4 linked regions of the Arabidopsis thaliana genome follow. The protein of the gene in region 3 binds, or shares a complex with, the protein of the main gene of each other region. Each region holds a gene or a part of one and is shown on either strand. Other genes may lie near its edges. The genes, in order: EPF1, TMM, ERL1 and EPF2. A codon is read from its position in the direction of its gene.

Region 1 (3,064 bases), on a different chromosome or scaffold from region 3:
AGCGTATCATCGCCACCAGGGAGTTGGGTGTGAGGTCCGGCCCCTTGTCCACCATTATATGATGGGATTCCCCCACCAGTAAGTGGAGCTCCGGTGACAGGATTGTAAGGGTAGAACGGCTTCTTGCATTTGGGAGGAAGCAAGAACCTTCCAACACCGGGAATGAGAATAGTTGGTTTGGGCTCAATGGTTACAAGAAAGTCAGGGTGTTTGACATCAGTGGTCTTAGGGGACTTGGGAACGTGACGTAGTCCACTCACTTGCTCTACAGATCCAAGCACTAGGCTTAAAACCACGACAATGACTGCGGAGGTGATAAGTGAAGAAGCCATTAATTTTATTTTATTTTGTTGTAGAGGAGAAAGCTCGTGTGTTTGTTTGATCCTGTGGAGGGAATGTGTGTGTATGTATATAGTAAAATACTGAGCTAATTGTGGGAACATTTAACGAAGGTGAGATGATATGGTTGAAAATAAAGGGTGTGTAACAAATGGGTAGTGTGGTTATTATTAGCGAGCCTCCAAAGTTTGGTGGTAACAACGTATACGTACTTTTGTTGTTGCCTTTTAAATATAATTCTGTCTACAACTTTTGTTGTTGCTGTCTTAAATACGGCCTCATGGACCATAATACAGCGAGAGAGCCCAAATAGGTGAGTGGCTTTCATTTTTTGATATCCATATATTTTCTGATTAATTAATCTCGGATCAAACTGTGTTTAAGATTCCTATTAATAATAAGAAAGAAACTAATTAAAGATGCATTGTATACGTACACATGGTCATGTCCCGGAGAAGCAAAAGGAAAACAAAACGGTTGAATGCATAGAATAAGTGTAGAAGAGGCTGATCAAGGGACAGGGTAGGACTTATTGTTGCACATGCATTTATAAGCCATTGGACAAGTCTCAGCCTCTTCGACGGATGCACACACAAAGCTAACCATCACAAGACGGCATGGAGAACACGAGCCACACGCGTGTGAGCAATCTGGCAACCTAGACCCAGCCACCTGCACCGTGTCCGGCCTCCTCCTCTGACGCTTCAATGCCCCGGTCATTCCTACATGATGATGACCTGCACATGCACGCAGACATGAACAAGTTAGAGATCTTGAAGATAGTGAAAGAGCTGGAGTAAGAAAGATGTGCATAGATACATACTTGGATGGGAGGATGTTGGTAAATGCCTAGCCAAGAGAGAGCCAAAGAAGAAAGAGAGGAAAAAGGCAAGGAGAAGAAGAGACTTCATGATATATTATCGCAAGTGGTAAAAGTAAAATTTGGGATGAAATAGTACGGCGAGAAACAAGGTATATATGATCGTTAACAAAGGGTTAGGAAATTGAAGAGACTCACGGTAGAGAAGAGGAGAGAGTCACATGAAAACAAGATCGAACATATGAAATGATATAAATTTTGAGGAGATGATGTAGAGTATGTGAAGCCTAATTAAGAACTTGAACTTCATTCGTGCTGCTTTGGTGAGTGTCATGAGCTTCCTCTGTGAAAAACTGAAAGACATACTTTTGTGTGCAATCACCTTTAATTTACCCTCTATAACCCTTCTTTTCTGTGACCTTCATTAATGCACCCAATTAATGTTCTTACTAAAAAAAAAAAGTTGAGCATTTGATGAGATAGAATGAGGGACATTGTCTTGGGGCTTGTGTTTTAAAATCGATAATATAATAGAGTTAATTACACATGAGGTTATTAATGATTTAAATACTGATTATACTGAAATTGCACAATTGTTTTGAAAATGATAGTATGTTCTATACTTGACATCTCAATATTTTGACACTACTACACTTTAAGCGATTAATGAAAAAATATTAAAGTTTCAATCAACTTTGCACACAAAAAAAAGTTTCAATCAACATTTGAAGAGTGTCGAACATGCACCTCACCAATCACATTACACTATAACTTTTCTACACCTTTCTTTGGGATGCTAAATTTCAATGAAAATTTTCTTATTAAGTTTCTATTTGCTAAAGGGGGCAGAAACATCAAAGGTCAAATGATTTAGTTACCAAAGTCAACGGCTTAACATCATAAAATCATCTTCTAGGAATCAATGTCCCTTTGAGTAGCCTTCATAGTATAATCTTCAAAACTTTGGCAAGTTAATATATAAATATGAAGCACTCATAATATAACTGGTATAAGATAATGGTTTGGGATTTGACATTCGTTGCATTCTTAATCAATCTAATCGTTTTCTCAAACTGCTGCCAATAAATTTAAAAGAAGAGAAAAACTTATTAAGTAGAATGATGGACCACGTTAAAATATCTTAATAAGAATACTACATAAAATACTAATGGATAGTGTATAAGTTTAATTGGAATAGCAAGTTTTATGATTGGAGAGATAGAGCATAGAGAGATAATGAAAGTGGAGAGAGCTGACCCATTCATTCACCGACTTTTTAAGCTTTAAGCTGTTGACTTTTTCTTCTAACACGAACCTTTTCCCTTGTCTTTGTTTTCTTTTTGTTTTGTTTTGTTTTGGAGTTTGTTTATCTTTATCTGCCGAAAGTTTAAGACTTCAGCCTCCCACCTTGGCACCTCCTTGCGTCCACGTCATCTTAATATGTACCAAGGTTTCTAAGTTCTTCATGTCAATAGACATTATAACATATTTGGAATCCATATTATGCAAGGAGACATCGGTTTTACTAATGCGAATTGAGGGGCTTGTATAAAATCGGTCTGCTTCAGAAAACATTCCATTTTTCAACCCTTGAAAGTCCATTCAGTTTACCATCCAAGAGTTTTTCCTTGTTGTGAATGATAAGAAAATCCATAACATTTATCTAATTTTATCGTATTGGAAAAATAATTTAATATTTCTGAATACATTTATTAAAAATATAGTTAAAAACGATGTATTTTTAGCGTTTTATAATTATTTAGCATTATTTAGATGTTTTCGTTATTTTGTTATTACATCATTTTAATTATTATTCATGTGACTTGAAATTAATTACTTTTTAAGGTCGAATCTTTTTTTACGCCTGCCTTTACACTTCTTATTAGAAGGTTATGTATCGAAACA
Region 2 (4,110 bases), on a different chromosome or scaffold from region 3:
ACGATAGGAACCGCATTGAGCATTGCTATACTCATGCATTGTATTGCATCTTTCACTCTAGCCTGGTATTAAACATTACAAGCGTTTAACTTAGGATTTAATGAATAAAGATGAAAATTCTTGACTTGTGAAATTTACCTGGCTAGTGAGGGCTAAAACAGTGTTGTGAATAGCGGAGAGATCAGTGACGGTGTGGGAGAGGATACCATGCAATTGAGAGGATTGGTCGAAGAAGAAAGAGATGAGATCCATCTGACTCAGCATTGCGTAAGCAGAAGCTGACTCTACCAACTCAGGTCCTGTTATATTTTCTGTATTACTGTCCAATGGAACCAATACCCTGTGGATTCCTTTACTCAACATCTCCATACAATCCATGATGCTGCTTTCATCAATGACCATCTTTGATTAGTACTCTATCCGTTCATATATAATGTTAAGATTTTTGACAAGAGAAAAATGTTTTGCATTTTTCTATGAAAAATTTGCATTATAATTTCTAATTTATCATTTAGTTTGAATTATAAAAAATATGAAACTATAAACAATTAATGACTGAAATATGGGTATATATATTAGGTGTTGCAAAAGAATTCTTACTATGTGAGAAAAGTGTACAACATCTAACATTATAAAAGGGAAGGATTAATTATACTGAAAGCAATTTAATTTTACAAATCTTCTATACTATTAACCTGGTATTAGGATTGAGAGACCAGAGGCTAAGACCCTCAGGGCAATGACCAATGATAGAAGAGACAGGGGCAGCCATTTTCTTATCAAGCCCACTCTCGCCGTCATCGCCGGCGATGTGAGCCACAACGTCGAGCATGGTCACCATTCCTATGTACTGTTTTCTTGCACTTCCGCTCTGTTTGTCCAACTCTACTATCATTGATCCCCCGGCTCCCAGCCATTGGCCTGGTTTGGCAGCCACCGGTACAGCTCTAACTCGGTTTGCCACCGGTTTGATACCAAGAATAGTCTTGTTAGTAATTCTTGATACTTAAAACGGTTGACTCCAACCAAAAAAATAACAATTATTTAGCCGTGGTTTACCATAGTGTTCAAGGCGTCCCCTAGAGTGGCATTATCAGGAACTTCGACCAGCCGCCGCTTGTCGATCATCAGATCTTTGACCTTGAACTGCATCAGACGGCTGTACGACTGCATGAAGATTTGTATTTGGGTGATAGTCAAAGTCTCAAAGAAAATGGGACGAGGCTTATGAACTTCTAATCTTTGTTTTGATGCTTTCGTAGTTACTTCATTATTCATATATGTCATGTTACTAGTAAGATGACACGTATTACATGTGTTGCTCCATGGGCATGTGCTTTTCGTATGCACAGACCACGCGTCCGTTTATTCAGATTCTCGTGTTACAACAAAATAATGATTTTAAGGTTCAGAATCAAACATATGAAACTTTTTATCAATTGCTATCTACGGTTTGTTACAAAAACAAATACAGTGCCCAGTTCAAAATACAAATTGAATAATAGCCCAACATATCGTAAATGGGAAAATGGGCTCAGCCCAAATAAAAAAAAAGTAAACGATAAGGAGACGTCGGGTCCCGTTCACGAAGCGGTCGGATCTAGGGCCCAACACAAGACGAATGAAGGGAATATCTCGTGAAAGCAATAAATGCAGAAATCGAGAATCATGAATTTTATTTATTTCGCTCCTCGAGTTATCCCGTGAAAGTCATAAAGACATTGCGAACGTTTTTATGGACCCACCAATTGTTTCTTCAGAATTATACATATACACACTGACAATTTCGAACCTAAACCGCATTCACACAACAACAACAACTAAGAAATGGCACGATATGAATTCTTCCGCCAAATATTCATTGTCTTGTCTATAGTTTCTCCGTTGGTCAGATCTTTCACTGTGATCACCTCCGACTCGACGGCCCCATCTGCTCTGATCGACGGCCCACAAACTGGATTCACGATGACCAATGACGGCGCTCGCACGGAGCCTGACGAGCAAGACGCCGTCTACGACATTATGCGTGCGACCGGCAACGACTGGGCTGCCGCGATTCCAGACGTTTGCCGAGGGAGATGGCACGGGATCGAGTGTATGCCGGACCAGGATAACGTCTACCACGTGGTCTCTCTGTCGTTCGGAGCGCTCTCAGACGACACGGCGTTTCCGACTTGTGATCCACAACGCTCTTACGTCTCTGAGTCCCTCACGAGGCTCAAACACCTCAAAGCCTTGTTCTTCTACCGATGTTTAGGCCGCGCCCCACAGCGCATACCGGCGTTTCTGGGACGCCTCGGCTCGAGTCTGCAAACGCTGGTTCTGAGGGAGAATGGTTTTTTGGGACCTATCCCTGACGAATTGGGCAATCTCACCAATTTGAAAGTTCTTGATTTGCATAAAAATCACCTCAACGGCTCCATTCCCTTGTCGTTCAACCGGTTCTCCGGTTTAAGATCGCTTGATTTGAGTGGTAACCGGTTGACTGGTTCCATTCCCGGTTTTGTTCTTCCGGCGCTGAGCGTTCTGGATTTGAACCAGAATCTTTTAACCGGACCGGTTCCACCCACACTCACAAGCTGTGGATCGTTGATCAAAATCGATCTTAGCCGAAACAGAGTCACTGGTCCTATCCCAGAATCGATTAACCGGCTCAACCAATTAGTGCTTTTGGATTTGAGCTATAACCGGTTATCAGGTCCATTCCCGTCTTCTCTCCAAGGCCTAAACTCTCTTCAAGCTTTAATGCTCAAAGGCAACACAAAATTCTCAACAACGATTCCTGAAAACGCGTTCAAAGGGCTCAAGAACTTGATGATTCTTGTTCTCTCGAATACGAACATCCAGGGCTCGATACCGAAATCATTGACTCGGTTAAACAGTCTTCGGGTCCTTCACCTAGAGGGCAATAATCTGACCGGAGAGATTCCTTTGGAGTTCCGGGACGTGAAGCATCTAAGCGAGCTGAGGCTCAACGATAACAGTCTGACAGGACCAGTACCGTTCGAGAGAGACACAGTGTGGAGGATGAGGAGAAAGCTGAGGCTGTATAACAATGCTGGTTTGTGTGTTAACCGGGACAGTGACTTGGATGATGCATTCGGTTCAAAATCTGGTTCAACTGTAAGATTGTGTGATGCAGAAACGTCGAGACCAGCTCCTTCCGGTACGGTCCAGCACCTATCTAGAGAAGAAGACGGTGCTTTGCCGGACGGAGCTACGGACGTGTCAAGCACTTCCAAGTCTTTGGGGTTCTCCTATCTTTCTGCATTCTTTCTTGTATTCCCTAATTTCATTTTTATGCTAATATCTAGTTAGAGGAGGGATGATAAAACTGCTGTAAATACTTCCCGAGTTTAATAATGTTAGTTAGATGCCTTTTCTGCATTAGTTGGATTGAATATCGCCACCATTTATGGCTACAAAAAAAACTTGTAAGCTCGAACGTGTTCCTTCTGTCTATATACTCTGTTCTTTGATCTCTGTTTTATCTTTCCGGAGATAAGAGACTTGTATTGCTTGTTCTTCCATGTTTTGTACATTTGGCGTTTATTCGAAATGGGAAAAACCTCTTAAAATAGTTTAAATTTGTCGTTTTATTTTCTCTCATCGAAGACGTTAGTTACCAAAATTCCGTTATACACGTACGTATGATTACATCACATTCAAGATTTTGATTATAGTGGCAAACCATCTTTTTAAGATTTAGGGACCTTACTATCTATCTCAGTAAAGCACAAGACAGTACAACATCTTACAAGTCTATACTGCAAAATAAAGCTAAATCACACACACGGTAAGAAAATTGAGTATATCTCAAGTAAATGTGTCCTCGCGATCTCCCTCTGTAATGTCAGCCTCCTCCATGTTGCTGAACTCCAGGAAATGAGTGGGTCGATGCTCCTCGTGATAGAACTCCTTTGGGGATCCGAGTTTGACACTGTATTTCATGCTCAACGTGTGCTTCACTCCAGTGAAGCTATAGTTCCACGGTCCACTCTCAGGAACCTATCATAACATCAGTTACAAAAATCAGATTTCAATGGTTTATATCATCCAAGGACAAAAGCACAATTGCAAACTCTGTTGTCTTACCATGTAAAACCCGAG
Region 3 (7,680 bases):
CTAAACAAAAGCCCTGGAATCTTTCTCTTATATGCTACTTTTGGAGATGACTTCACGGAACTGAACAAACCATTGAGATGCTTCTGCATCAGGATTCCTAACTTCATTCTCTTGCTGCAGCTTTTTGGTTGAGTGATCAAGAGAAGGTAGCTTCTTTGCTACTTGCAGAGATGGGACAAGAGAGAGCAGAACCCTAGAGACTTCAAGCATTGTGGGTCTCTCTAAAGGGTTTCGCTTTGTGCATAAGAGAGCCAGCTGAAATGTCTTCCTGATATGTCCCAAGTCCATACAAGTCACAGTAACCTCTGGATCAACTGCTTCCATCACAGTATTATCATCAGCCTTTGACAATATCTGCAACATAAAAAAAAAAAACGTTAACTCTTTTAAGGTTCAAAGATCATAATCTATAGTGATTCTTGATTCATATACCAGTTGATGCAAGTTAGCTTCGTTATCCACTGCTTTCTTCCCAGTGAGAAGCTCAAGAAGAACAATACCGAAGCTGTATATATCGGATTTCTCATTGATTCGTGAAGTACGAGCATACTCTGGGTCTATATAACCAATTGTTCCCAAAACATAAGTCGAGGCATGGGTTTTGCTAGCTGGTATGCTCTTAGCAATCCCGAAATCAGATAAATGTGCTTCGAAATTCTCATCAAGAAGTATGTTCGATGACTTGATGTCACGGTGAATGATTCGAGGAGTACAATCGTGGTGAAGATAGGCTAGTCCTTGTGCAGCTCCAACCGCTATCTTCAACCTTGTCTCCCAATCAAGCTTCACTTTCTTCAATGACCCTTTTCAAGAAAATAAAAATCAAAACATTTTTACCGTTTATCTGCAAATCAATCTTTCACAAATTGAACCAAAAAAAGTTAGAAGAACTTACCATGAAGAAGGTCCCAAAGTGATCCATTTTCCATGTAGTCATAGAAAAGAAGGTTGCCAGTAGGAGACAAGGCATATCCATGCAAGCTGACTATGTTTCTGTGCCTAATGCTCCCAATGGTCTCAAGTTCTGTCTCAAATTCCCGCAAGTTATGCGGATACTGATTGTAGAGTCGCTTAATGGCAATAGGTCGGGAACTTTTTAATGCACATTTGTATACCGTGCTAGAAGCACCATATCCAATTATAAACTTTTCGTTAAGATTCTCAGTCACTCTCATGATATCATCAAATGTATGAATTGCCATGTCCATGTGGAGAATCACTAGCTTGGTTAACCCTGAGAATCGGTAAAGATTGATATTGTCATATAAGAACAGAATATGAGTTATGAAGAAGTATGAAGGCATCATCATTACCTTCAGCTTGTTTTGAGGAGCCTTGTAGAATCTTCTTCTGCTGCATTGATTTGTAAACTGCAAGGAAAATCATACATAGGAGAGTGATGACGCCAAGAACAATGCAGATCAAAGCACCTCTGGAGAATACTGAAAAGAACAAGAAAAGCAAGCTCAAATAAACAAGAAAAAACATCTATTGAAGAAAATGCTTAATGGATAAATCTAGTAGATACCTCGAGATTTCGGTAAAGGACCACAAATAGATCCAACCCAGTTTCCACAAAGATATGGATTTCCAACAAAGCTATACAGAGGTTATGAATTTAGTTTTACAATGAAAGCTTATGCGTATTGATCATAATGACAGACTACTGAGAGAAGCTTCATACCTGGCTGGAGCAAAACGTGAGAAGTTTTTCATTGGTGGGACTATCCCGGAGAGATTGTTGAAGGAGACATTCCTAAAACGTTTTCGAAGAAAGAAGAAGAAAATGTTGGATTCACAAATCTTCCAAAGGGCTAATATTGCTCATAAGCAAGTATCTCTTGCAGAAGAACTTACAGATTGACAAGAGTGAAGCAGTTCGTAAGCTGATCTGGAATTTTCCCATGAAGCTTGTTGTTGTTCAATATTCTGTACATAAACATAAAGATCAAACCATACATCTATTTTGTATATAATACAAATGATAAGATCATATTATTAACTTACAAAGAGTTTAAATTCTGCAATTGGCCAAGTTCAGTTGGAATAACTCCGGAGAGCAGATTGAATGATACATCACTACAAGTAAAACAGATAAGTCAGAAAAAAAATATGATTTTGATATAACCAAAAGAAGCAACTATAAGCTTTACATCATCTGAATGCTTCGAAGGTTCCCAAACTCTGCAGGTAATTGTCCACTAAGATGGTTTCTGCTAAGATTTCTGTTTAATGAAGCAAAAGATTAAAAGTTAACAAACACAAGAAAAACATTTACAAATTTACAACTTTAAGTGTAAAAGACTTACAATATGAGAAGGTGTTCAAGATCGCCAAGCGTTAATGGTATAGACCCTGAGAAGTTATTGCCAGACAGATCTCTGGAAACAAAAACATATGATGAGTTTGCAGCAAATTCAAACTGAAACATAAAACCAAACGATGTAACAAAGTTGAGAAGACATACAGTTTGTCAAGATTGATTATATGTCCAAGCTCAACTGGTATTTTTCCCTTGAAATTGTTCGACGAAAGATTCCTGCATCCAAAAGGATTCAACAGTCACTATAATGTTTAGAGGGAAGCAATGTTACAGCATTGTATTGAATGAAACTCACAGATAAGTCAAGCTCCCGAGATTGCGAAACGCCAGTGGAATAGATCCACTCAAGAGGTTCCCATGAACATTGCTGAATTCAAGTAGAGCAGCAGAATTTAGGTTTGTGAATAAGAAGAGTAAAGCATGAATTCAAAATGAACTATCTTATAGCTTACAATTGATTCAAGGCTGCACATGAACTAATGTTGGATGGTATGGGCCCTACTAAACGGTTGTTGGCAAGATTCCTTTCATGTCAAAAAATGGATCAGTAAAAACAAGGATCAAATGTAATGCTTCAACAGCTAAAGTGAAAAACTTTAGAGCAAGGAAAAGAAACTCACAGTTCAAACAATTGCTCCAGCTTTCCAAGCTCAGGTGGAATAGTTCCCACTAGTTTATTGTCGTTTAGCTGCCTTCAAAATCGGTAAAAGAAAAGCAAAATAGATAAGTATATGGAATGCGAAAGCTATGTAAACAGATTTGAAGTTTAAAACAAGCTTACAAATAGCTGAGACGTGACATATTCCCAAGCTCAGAGGGGATTGGACCAGTGAGCATATTGCCATGGAGATACCTATTTCAACAAAAAAAAAAGGTATCAATGCATATGCCAAGAGCTGATTAGCTGAACATATGAGATACTACAGTTATACAAAAAAGACTCACAACTTTCCGGTAAATGAGAGATTGCCAAGTATCGGTGGGATAGGACCAACAAGCTCATTGTCACTCAAATCCCTGTGAATTGAATAGGATTCACAAAGTCAGACGAGCCAAATTCAAGAATGTACTTTGTCGTTACTTTTCCATATGAATTGAACTTACAAAACAGCAAGAGCCTGCATTAGACCAATAACTTCTGGAATTCTACCCGTCAATCTGTTTCCTTGAAGTGACCTTCAAAAAGTAATAATACACAATTCAATAACCGCATGTTAACAATTTACTGATGAAACTAAGGTAAAAGAGGCTCAATACTCACAGAGTAGCAACTTGGAGGAAGCCGATATTGTAAGGAATCTCTCCTGTTATCTGATTATAAGATATGTCCCTGTAATATCAAAAGGTATGAGTCCAAAATTCACTCCTATAGTGGAAGTCTAATGTTTAATTTAAGATGGCACATACAGGATTTGAAAGCTTGTGCAATTTCCGATGCTCTCCGGGATGGTTCCAGTTAGATTATTTCCTCTCACATCACTTCCAACAACAAAACACAAGTTAAAAAATATAACTCAAGACTTGAATGAATCAAAGAAGGACCAGGATCTATACAAGACTCAAAAGATGGCAGAGCGTTGGATCCACTTACAAGTACCACAAACCGGTTAGCTGACACATATCAGAAGATAACGTTCCAGTCAACATATTCCCTCGTAATCCACTGCAGAAAGAAAGTATTAGAAGGAGAAAATTAACTTCTTCTATGGTGTAGACTATATTGAGATCAGAGAAAATGACTCTGACGAACTTACAGATACTGCAAAACTTCATTCCAGTAAAGCAATCTCGATATCTCACCCGTTAGATGATTGCCAGCAAGATCACTGCAACATCATGATTGGAAAAAAGAAAATGAGTAAGTTCAAAATCTATTCCCAAATTTTGATTCATGAGTAAATGATGTAACTAAAGAACTCACAGTCTCTTAAGGTTTGGAATCTGGGTTAAGGTTGCTGGTACAGGACCTGTGAGCTGATTGTTCTTCAGATTCCTGATACATCCACAAGTTCAAAGGTTCACAAAAATCCACTCGAAAAAAAAAAAGAACAAGTAGACAAAATTTGAACTTTGAATCGGAAAAACAAAATGTTGAAGTATAACACATACAGAGTTTCAAGCTGCTTGAGTTTAGAGATTGAGAAAGGTATGTCTCCATATAACAGATTCTCGGACAAATCCCTGTACAACAGAGGATATGGACGTCAAAACTAAAGACATGAAAATTGAAAACTCAAAAAAACAAGTTTAATAAGACTTACAGATAAACAAGAGAAGCACAGTTTCCAATCTCATCTGGAATTTGACCTGCTAGTTTATTACCTTGCAAGTCTCTGCAATTGGAAAAAGCCTTTATGAACAAAAGCTACAACATTTCAAAGTTCAAACATGCAAATCAACAGAGAAAGAAAGGGAAAAAAAACCATTACATTGATTGCAAATTCCGTAGGTCTCCAATAGCTGGAGATATCTCCCCTCCAAGATTCAGACTGGACAAATTCCTTCACAAAGTAAAAATAGAAAAAAAGCAGAATATTACAAGACCACAAAAGAGAGACATTTTTCAACAACACAAGAATTATTATTGAACTCAAATAAGATTCTTACAGAGAGACAACGGAGTAGCTAACGTTGTCGCAGAAAACACCTCGCCAAGAACACAAGTCACTGTTGTGAACATCGTCCCAATCCAAAAGCATATTCACTAAGTTGCTGAAAGAGCCTTTTATCGCCATCAGAGCTTTCCCTGTGGGTTTTCAAAATTCATAAACAGACTCAACTAGGATTAGTAATAAATCATTTGAAACGCGGAACATCAGTCACATAGTTAAATATACATAAACCAAAACTAAGGAATTTTTGTAAATTTCATGTCCTTTCTCTCCAGGACACTAGGGATTAAGCTTCGTTTTTTTCTCGGGAAACAGCTTGAAAAAAACACAAACTTTCCATGGTACAGGAACAGGCATTCTCTGTGTACTAATCATGATCAAATTTCTTGGGAAATGGAGAAAAGATTGCATCTTTATATGCATTTGATGAAGAACAAGCCAGAGCTAAGTATTGGGTATGAAAAAGCTTTCAACTTTAACTCTCTTTTTATGGGGAAACCAAATGTTTGACATAAACCAAAGATTATATGTCATGATAACTTCTAACACAGACGATTTTAGATTCAAACTTTCAGAAAAAATCAGAGAATGGGTTTAAGGAGATATACCTAACTAAACCCTAATTTTTGAAGCACATAATCAAAATTTTAAACAGAGATCACAAGAAAAAAGACAAAAACAAAAGAGTTAGAAGAAACAAACCTTCGTTGTTCATAGCCGAAGCAACACCAAAAACCATAAAACCCACCATTGCTAAAGATAAAACCATTCGCTGCATCTTCTCCTTCATTTTTTTCTTCTTATTCTTCTTTCCTTTTGGGGTAATAAGCCAAGAAGCTCGTTGAAGTTTTGATTCAATAACAACAAAGCAGAGGAAACCAAAACACAAAAGAACGAAACTTCAGGCTTGTTCTGCCATTGTTGCAGAGAGAAAAGGGTACCAAAACAGGTGATTAGCGTGAACTGCAAGAAATGCAGAGCCAGAGATGTTAAAGAAGAGAGAGACAGAGAAATGGGGAGAGAGAGATAATGTACTAGAGCCCTATATAACTAGCCATGAAAGAGAATACTAAGACCACGACAAATCTGTCAGAGTGTGAGAGTATATATGTATGCAATTATATACACACACTTATATCATTTACTACTTAAAACTCTGATCGAACCATTAACTATGATAATAATGTCACGTTAAAACATTAGCCACTTCTAATTAGTATATGATCTTCACTCTCACACGCATTAACATTTTTAGTAAACGGAGATAAGTAACGGCGTTAGGAATTAAGAAAGGTTGATTTTGACGGTGACATGACCCGCCGTTTGTTGTAGACGCCGCTTTCCAATGCATGGTAATATTCCACTGTGTAAAAACCTCGGTCACGCGCTAGATTTGTAGCGCGTGTTTGATCCAACGGTGGATGATTCGAGTAAACAGGGTTAAGAGGATGGGAAGCGATGTAGAGAAACTGAACTATGCTTTTCCTTGTGAAAGTTAGTTAATGCTTTGATAGTGATTGGGGACACCGGTTGGACCGGTTTGGTTTTGTGGTTATACGTTTTTCGACCGTTAGTTTTTTTTAGCCAATATGATTGGTTTTCTTTTATGTTGATGTGAATTTTTTACTATCTTATAGTTATAGTTATAGAGACCATGTCACATGTTGGTTTTTTATGGATTGATTTCACAATTAAAGCTGTATGAGTGGGACGAAAAAAATTGGTGGAATTGTACCTTGCGATAAATACAAATGAGAGTCATGTTTATATATACCATAGTTTATATTATATGTGACAAAAGCTCCGAGGCTCTAGGATAACTCTAATCGTTCGAGATTAAGCCAATATTCTATCTTGTTCTTCCAATAATGTTTGATTTAATTGTGTGTACTGTGTTATATGGAAATGTATCGGTAAATAGTTTAGTATAAGGATTTGGTTTTGTTAGATTAAATTGGTCCGACCGTATCTTTATTTTGCATAGTTTTGGATCTTTAGGTCTCCAGAGTCCTTTTTGTTGTACAGTCGTACTATACGGTCTAAACCGCCCTATCGGTCAAACTTTTGGGGAAGACTAAAATATACAAAAATTATGTTGTTTACATAGAAATGGTTTTGATTAATGTAATTGTTTATAGTTGAGGAACCTTCTATTCTTGAAAGTTAAAATACTTCGAAACGATTCAAGAATATAACCCAAGGGGAAAAAATGCAAGTCTTAATAGTACTTCAATCTATTTTGAAGTTTACTCAACGTTTATATGTTTACCAATAACTAATCATCATCATATTGGTTTTATTCGTTCTAATAAATGTTGGAGGAATTTTGTATCCACGAGAACCAAAATTAATAAAAGAATAGAGTAGGTTCAGCTGTATGCGTCTCTAGTACTTTCTATAGACTAGTAAATAGATGCATGGGTTCAGCTATATGACCTATGTGAGAATTATGACCACACTTGAACATTTGATCTGTTATATATTTTTCAATTCCGGCTTTGCAATATTCAATCGGTATTCATAGTAACCTTATTATTCAACTACGGTTTTGTCAGTTGAGTAATCGTTTTAAGTAATTTATTTACCTAATAATCAGAGTTTATACTTATTAATAAAGCTCGTAGGCTTCTTCCACTATATATATAAATGTTACATGCCTCTATATCGTGGGCATAACCTTGTTGATGTAATGAAGTATGAACATTTTAGGCATTTTGTTTTCTACTTTTACAAAAATGGTAAATT
Region 4 (3,198 bases), on a different chromosome or scaffold from region 3:
TCAAAATGGGAAGACAAAATTAATATAAATAAATTTTTATTTGCCAAAGTCATTGTTTTATTTTCTGATTTAAAATCATTTTTAATTTCATTTTTCATAGTCAAATAACATAGACTAGTCTTCACTTTAAAAAGCGAGACGGAAATAGCTTAAAGTTTAAACACAAAAGTAAAATTTATTACAAATGTTTTTTTCCCCTAAAAACACTTAAAATCTATAGAATATTGTATGCTCATAACATAAATTAGAAATTACGAGAAAATAAACAACTAATAAAAAACAAAACAAAAAAAAAAGTTTTACCAAAAAAAAACAACTAAAAAAATCTTTATTCGTGTACCAAAAAAATGAAGAACAAAACTTTATTCTAACTTCTAAGTTTTTTTTTAAATTAAACCAAAAAAAAAAACGTCTAAGTTTTTGAACAAAAGAAAATGATTTCTTTAACTAATGCAAATCAGATTAATGTAAGAAGATGTAAATTTCAAAACGATCCATAGTAAGAAAAAGTTTATACTTTACACATTGTTACATAAATGATTTTTTTGGTTTAACCGGTTACCGGTATGATGGAGATGGCTTTTAAAAGGAAACAATAAATAATTGGCCAACCGAAGCATTTGACTTTGTGATGTACCGGTTCAAGAATCTGATTCGGTCGTGTCATACAAACTCTCTTTGAAAAGGCCTAATAAAGCCCAATATTAATTATAAGACTTCAAAGTGGGCCAATAGCATTTAATTTAATATCCCAACAAATTGTACAATAGAAAAAAAGTTTCGCCGCCAGCCAAAACTGATATTTTAATCACAGACGTCAAAAAAAAATAAACGGCGGAGATTCAATTCAAGCTCTAGATGGCACGTGATAGTATCTCCCTCTGCACGTGCATCTGTAGATGACGCTACATGATTCGGCGACTGAGCATTCGAAACTAATCATCACACGTTTACACGGCGAACATGCGCCACACGCGTATGAACAATCCGGTAAGCTTGATCCTGTTGGGTACATTTCCATTTCTACCCCTCCGTTTTTGCTTATTTCCTTCTTCACCACATTACAACAAGAAAACAATTAATTGACAATGACTTCTTTTATAAAGAAAAAATTAAAAATTAATTAAAAGAAAAAATCAAATGCAGTTGTTATTATTAAAAAAATATTTTTATATATTAAAATATGGTATTTTTGCACATAAATTAAAATGAGAGAAGTGCACCGTGGGAGACAGGACCTACCTTGTGGTGCGTTTGAGCTTGTTCTATATCGGCGTTTTTCTTTTCTCCGCCATTGACCGTGTTTTCTACATTAAAAAGTATAAAATGTTAATATATGAAAATCATTACCAAGTAAAATATAAACTATAACCAAAAGATATTGATGTGACGGACTTAGTGGCGGCGTGCGAATGGAGTTAACGACCAAAGAACACGCGGCGAAGACTAGGACGAGGCAAAACATATACTTGCGTACAAACTTCGTCATGTTTATAATCTTTTTTTTTAACAAGAAGAAACTTTCTGGTTGAGGCAGAGGTTTTAAAGAGAAGTTTCTAGAAATGATAGGAAGCAAGTACTACGTGTGTTATGTGTTGTGTGTGAAGTATTAAAGGTGGGATAAGTGAGATATGTGTATATATAGTTGAGGAAAAGGTGAGAAAGAATTGGTTATGTGTTTATGATTTATGATAATAAATGATGAAAAGAGGCACACATGTTGAAGGGTCACATGATTCTCGTCGATTTTCTGAGAAAAAATCATTATGATTTATTCTTTTAGTTACCAATGAACATGTTCGCGGGCTATGAATATTTTTGAATATGAGAAACTGTTCACATGTACGTAGCAATAAAGCCTGAGATATGGTTGTGACTTGTGTGCATGTTTTCATGTTCAGTCAGTGGATATATAATATGAAGATCTCATCAATCATATTATAAACCATGGATGAAAATGTTTAACTAGAAGACTATATTTCACTACAAATCATAGTTCAACATAAAACTAAAAAAAAAATTAGTTGAGCATCGATTTATGACCAATACATCATAGTTTATATAAAAAAATATGACCAGTAAATCATATATATATATATTAATATACACAAAGTTCTACCGCTAAAAGACCAAGAAGCCCATCGATCATATTGTACACAAGGATGAACGAATGTATAATTACAAAAGTCGAAGCATTAAATATGTAAGTGTTAGTGGTATCATGAATATAGAGAGAAGTTTTATACGTAAAGATATGGTATATAATATATGGCGTGGGACCAAAAAAGGAGTTACTATAAGGGAATAGTTAATAATTGTAGTCATAAGGTTCACAATGGGAGAGAGAGCAGAGAACTTACAGAAGCAGCCAAAAAGTGTTCAGACATCTTGAAAATAACCTGTCACACAAACGTGAACCTTGCCCTTGGTTTTAATGACCTTTTCCCAAAGCACCAAATAATGAGCTTAGCATATTTTTCAGTTCTTTTTTGTAACGAAGAAATTCCATGTTTTATTGATAGATGATTCCTAGCGTAGGCAGAAATGTTTTCTGGTCACAAAAAGATTCCTAGCGGTTAAACTAGTCCTTTCTTCTTGGTTGATATTTATATAAAATCTGAGCTCCAACAAATATGATGATTAATATGTGTTTTGGTCTAGAAAACATTTTTATGTGTTTCGAAGGTCTAAGAAGAAAGAAATGTTGGTCAAGACTATTTCAGAATTTTTTTCTTATTTTTTGAGTACTTCGTTGATAATTTAAGATATGTCCAACAAAAATGGTAGTCTATAGCAGGCTATCCATATCCATTAACACATTCCAATTTTTAATAATGTCTATTTTGATATTAGATAAATGGAGTTCATGTCCACTAAAACTCATGTCTATTAACGTTCATGTCATTAAAGTTTATGTTCAAATGGGATGTTCAATGGGCATATCAGAACCAAATTTGAACATAATAGTTTTTGGTTCATATTTTAATCAATACATAAGTCAAAAGTCTTATACTTTGAAATATATCTAAAAACAAATTTGAACACAATTCAACAAAGTATCAAATCTAAAAGCAATTAAATGCAAATTTAAACTTCTTATATTTCTCCCTTGCCATCTTTGTCTTCATTAAATAACTCAATATGATCATCTAAGTACAACAAAAAAACATATTTACATTTAAATTCAAATTGATTGAA

The links.
Region 1: the proteins of ERL1 (region 3) and EPF1 are in contact, whole or in part, in a crystal structure (PDB 5XJO), measured with the Arabidopsis thaliana proteins. Residues at the interface, in NP_201029.1 of Arabidopsis thaliana: Trp218 (codon at 3,922), Gln242 (codon at 3,738), Ile243 (codon at 3,735), Tyr257 (codon at 3,616), Gly260 (codon at 3,607), Phe261 (codon at 3,604), Leu262 (codon at 3,601), Gln263 (codon at 3,598), Ala265 (codon at 3,592), Thr266 (codon at 3,589), Val281 (codon at 3,459), Leu284 (codon at 3,450), Met285 (codon at 3,447), Gln286 (codon at 3,444), Ala287 (codon at 3,441), Leu288 (codon at 3,438), Ala289 (codon at 3,435), Val290 (codon at 3,432), Phe311 (codon at 3,282); in NP_179684.1 of Arabidopsis thaliana: Ala53 (codon at 1,008), Gly54 (codon at 1,005), Ser55 (codon at 1,002), Arg56 (codon at 999), Leu57 (codon at 996), Met74 (codon at 945), Phe77 (codon at 936), Pro89 (codon at 900), Met90 (codon at 897), Ala91 (codon at 894), Tyr92 (codon at 891), Lys93 (codon at 888).
Region 2: the proteins of ERL1 (region 3) and TMM are in contact, whole or in part, in a crystal structure (PDB 5XKJ), measured with the Arabidopsis thaliana proteins. Residues at the interface, in NP_201029.1 of Arabidopsis thaliana: Glu86 (codon at 4,796), Pro89 (codon at 4,787), Gln110 (codon at 4,628), Ile111 (codon at 4,625), Pro112 (codon at 4,622), Asp113 (codon at 4,619), Glu114 (codon at 4,616), Tyr132 (codon at 4,482), Asp134 (codon at 4,476), Pro136 (codon at 4,470), Phe137 (codon at 4,467), Ser138 (codon at 4,464), Lys141 (codon at 4,455), Glu146 (codon at 4,440), Thr156 (codon at 4,294), Gly157 (codon at 4,291), Pro158 (codon at 4,288), Pro160 (codon at 4,282), Ala161 (codon at 4,279), Thr162 (codon at 4,276), Thr164 (codon at 4,270), Gln165 (codon at 4,267), Pro167 (codon at 4,261), Asn168 (codon at 4,258), Lys170 (codon at 4,252), Ser184 (codon at 4,115), Arg185 (codon at 4,112), Leu186 (codon at 4,109), Trp189 (codon at 4,100), Glu191 (codon at 4,094); in NP_178125.1 of Arabidopsis thaliana: Leu108 (codon at 2,149), Ser109 (codon at 2,152), Asp111 (codon at 2,158), Thr112 (codon at 2,161), Tyr140 (codon at 2,245), Arg141 (codon at 2,248), Val165 (codon at 2,320), Arg167 (codon at 2,326), Glu168 (codon at 2,329), Val187 (codon at 2,386), Asp189 (codon at 2,392), His191 (codon at 2,398), Arg210 (codon at 2,455), Ser211 (codon at 2,458), Ser232 (codon at 2,521), Val233 (codon at 2,524), Ile256 (codon at 2,593), Lys257 (codon at 2,596), Asp259 (codon at 2,602), Gln278 (codon at 2,659), Val280 (codon at 2,665), Leu281 (codon at 2,668), Asp283 (codon at 2,674), Gln304 (codon at 2,737), Ala305 (codon at 2,740), Met307 (codon at 2,746), Lys309 (codon at 2,752), Met330 (codon at 2,815), Ile331 (codon at 2,818), Val333 (codon at 2,824).
Region 4: the proteins of ERL1 (region 3) and EPF2 are in contact, whole or in part, in a crystal structure (PDB 5XKJ), measured with the Arabidopsis thaliana proteins. Residues at the interface, in NP_201029.1 of Arabidopsis thaliana: Trp218 (codon at 3,922), Gly236 (codon at 3,756), Asn237 (codon at 3,753), Thr239 (codon at 3,747), Gln242 (codon at 3,738), Ile243 (codon at 3,735), Gly260 (codon at 3,607), Phe261 (codon at 3,604), Leu262 (codon at 3,601), Gln263 (codon at 3,598), Ala265 (codon at 3,592), Thr266 (codon at 3,589), Leu284 (codon at 3,450), Met285 (codon at 3,447), Gln286 (codon at 3,444), Ala287 (codon at 3,441), Leu288 (codon at 3,438), Ala289 (codon at 3,435), Val290 (codon at 3,432), Phe311 (codon at 3,282); in NP_564442.1 of Arabidopsis thaliana: Thr69 (codon at 1,006), Gly70 (codon at 1,003), Ser71 (codon at 1,000), Ser72 (codon at 997), Leu73 (codon at 994), Phe93 (codon at 934), Ser102 (codon at 907), Val103 (codon at 904), Ile104 (codon at 901), Tyr105 (codon at 898), His115 (codon at 868), Ser118 (codon at 859), Arg119 (codon at 856), Ala120 (codon at 853).

What each region holds. Positions count from the first base shown.
Region 1 is NC_003071.7:8,982,330-8,985,393, forward strand, and holds EPF1 (epidermal patterning factor 1), read right to left. Parts: upstream 1,486-3,064; 5' UTR 1,251-1,485; coding exon 1,163-1,250; intron 1,077-1,162; coding exon 850-1,076; 3' UTR 534-849; downstream 1-533. Other genes in the region: AT2G20870 (cell wall protein precursor), read right to left, coding at 1-332. UniProt on the Arabidopsis thaliana protein: Controls stomatal patterning. Regulates asymmetric cell division during guard cell differentiation. Mediates stomatal development inhibition. Not cleaved by the protease CRSP (AC Q9LNU1).
Region 2 is NC_003070.9:30,127,281-30,131,390, reverse strand, and holds TMM (Leucine-rich repeat (LRR) family protein), read left to right. Parts: upstream 1-1,741; 5' UTR 1,742-1,827; coding exon 1,828-3,318; 3' UTR 3,319-3,572; downstream 3,573-4,110. Other genes in the region: CBSX4 (Cystathionine beta-synthase (CBS) family protein), read right to left, coding at 1-62, 139-382, 696-964, 1,060-1,173; SUS2 (Pre-mRNA-processing-splicing factor), read right to left, coding at 3,817-4,008, 4,096-4,110. UniProt on the Arabidopsis thaliana protein: Promotes cell fate progression in stomatal development. In leaves, needed to correctly orient spacing divisions, to limit the number of asymmetric divisions in neighbor cells, and to promote the asymmetric (amplifying) divisions of meristemoids.
Region 3 is NC_003076.8:24,994,478-25,002,157, reverse strand, and holds the start of ERL1 (ERECTA-like 1), read right to left. Parts: upstream 6,023-7,680; 5' UTR 5,726-6,022; coding exon 5,638-5,725; intron 5,070-5,637; coding exon 4,931-5,069; intron 4,825-4,930; coding exon 4,753-4,824; intron 4,657-4,752; coding exon 4,585-4,656; intron 4,505-4,584; coding exon 4,433-4,504; intron 4,317-4,432; coding exon 4,245-4,316; intron 4,150-4,244; coding exon 4,078-4,149; intron 3,987-4,077; coding exon 3,915-3,986; intron 3,803-3,914; coding exon 3,731-3,802; intron 3,654-3,730; coding exon 3,585-3,653; intron 3,500-3,584; coding exon 3,428-3,499; intron 3,341-3,427; coding exon 3,269-3,340; intron 3,177-3,268; coding exon 3,105-3,176; intron 3,016-3,104; coding exon 2,944-3,015; intron 2,848-2,943; coding exon 2,776-2,847; intron 2,691-2,775; coding exon 2,619-2,690; intron 2,540-2,618; coding exon 2,468-2,539; intron 2,382-2,467; coding exon 2,310-2,381; intron 2,226-2,309; coding exon 2,154-2,225; intron 2,080-2,153; and 16 more. UniProt on the Arabidopsis thaliana protein: Receptor kinase that regulates inflorescence architecture and organ shape as well as stomatal patterning, including density and clustering, together with ER and ERL2. Redundantly involved with ER in procambial development regulation.
Region 4 is NC_003070.9:12,471,281-12,474,478, reverse strand, and holds EPF2 (Putative membrane lipoprotein), read right to left. Parts: upstream 1,612-3,198; 5' UTR 1,490-1,611; coding exon 1,396-1,489; intron 1,308-1,395; coding exon 1,243-1,307; intron 1,052-1,242; coding exon 848-1,051; 3' UTR 505-847; downstream 1-504. UniProt on the Arabidopsis thaliana protein: Controls stomatal patterning. Regulates the number of cells that enter, and remain in, the stomatal lineage by inhibiting protodermal cells from adopting the meristemoid mother cell (MMC) fate in a non-cell-autonomous manner.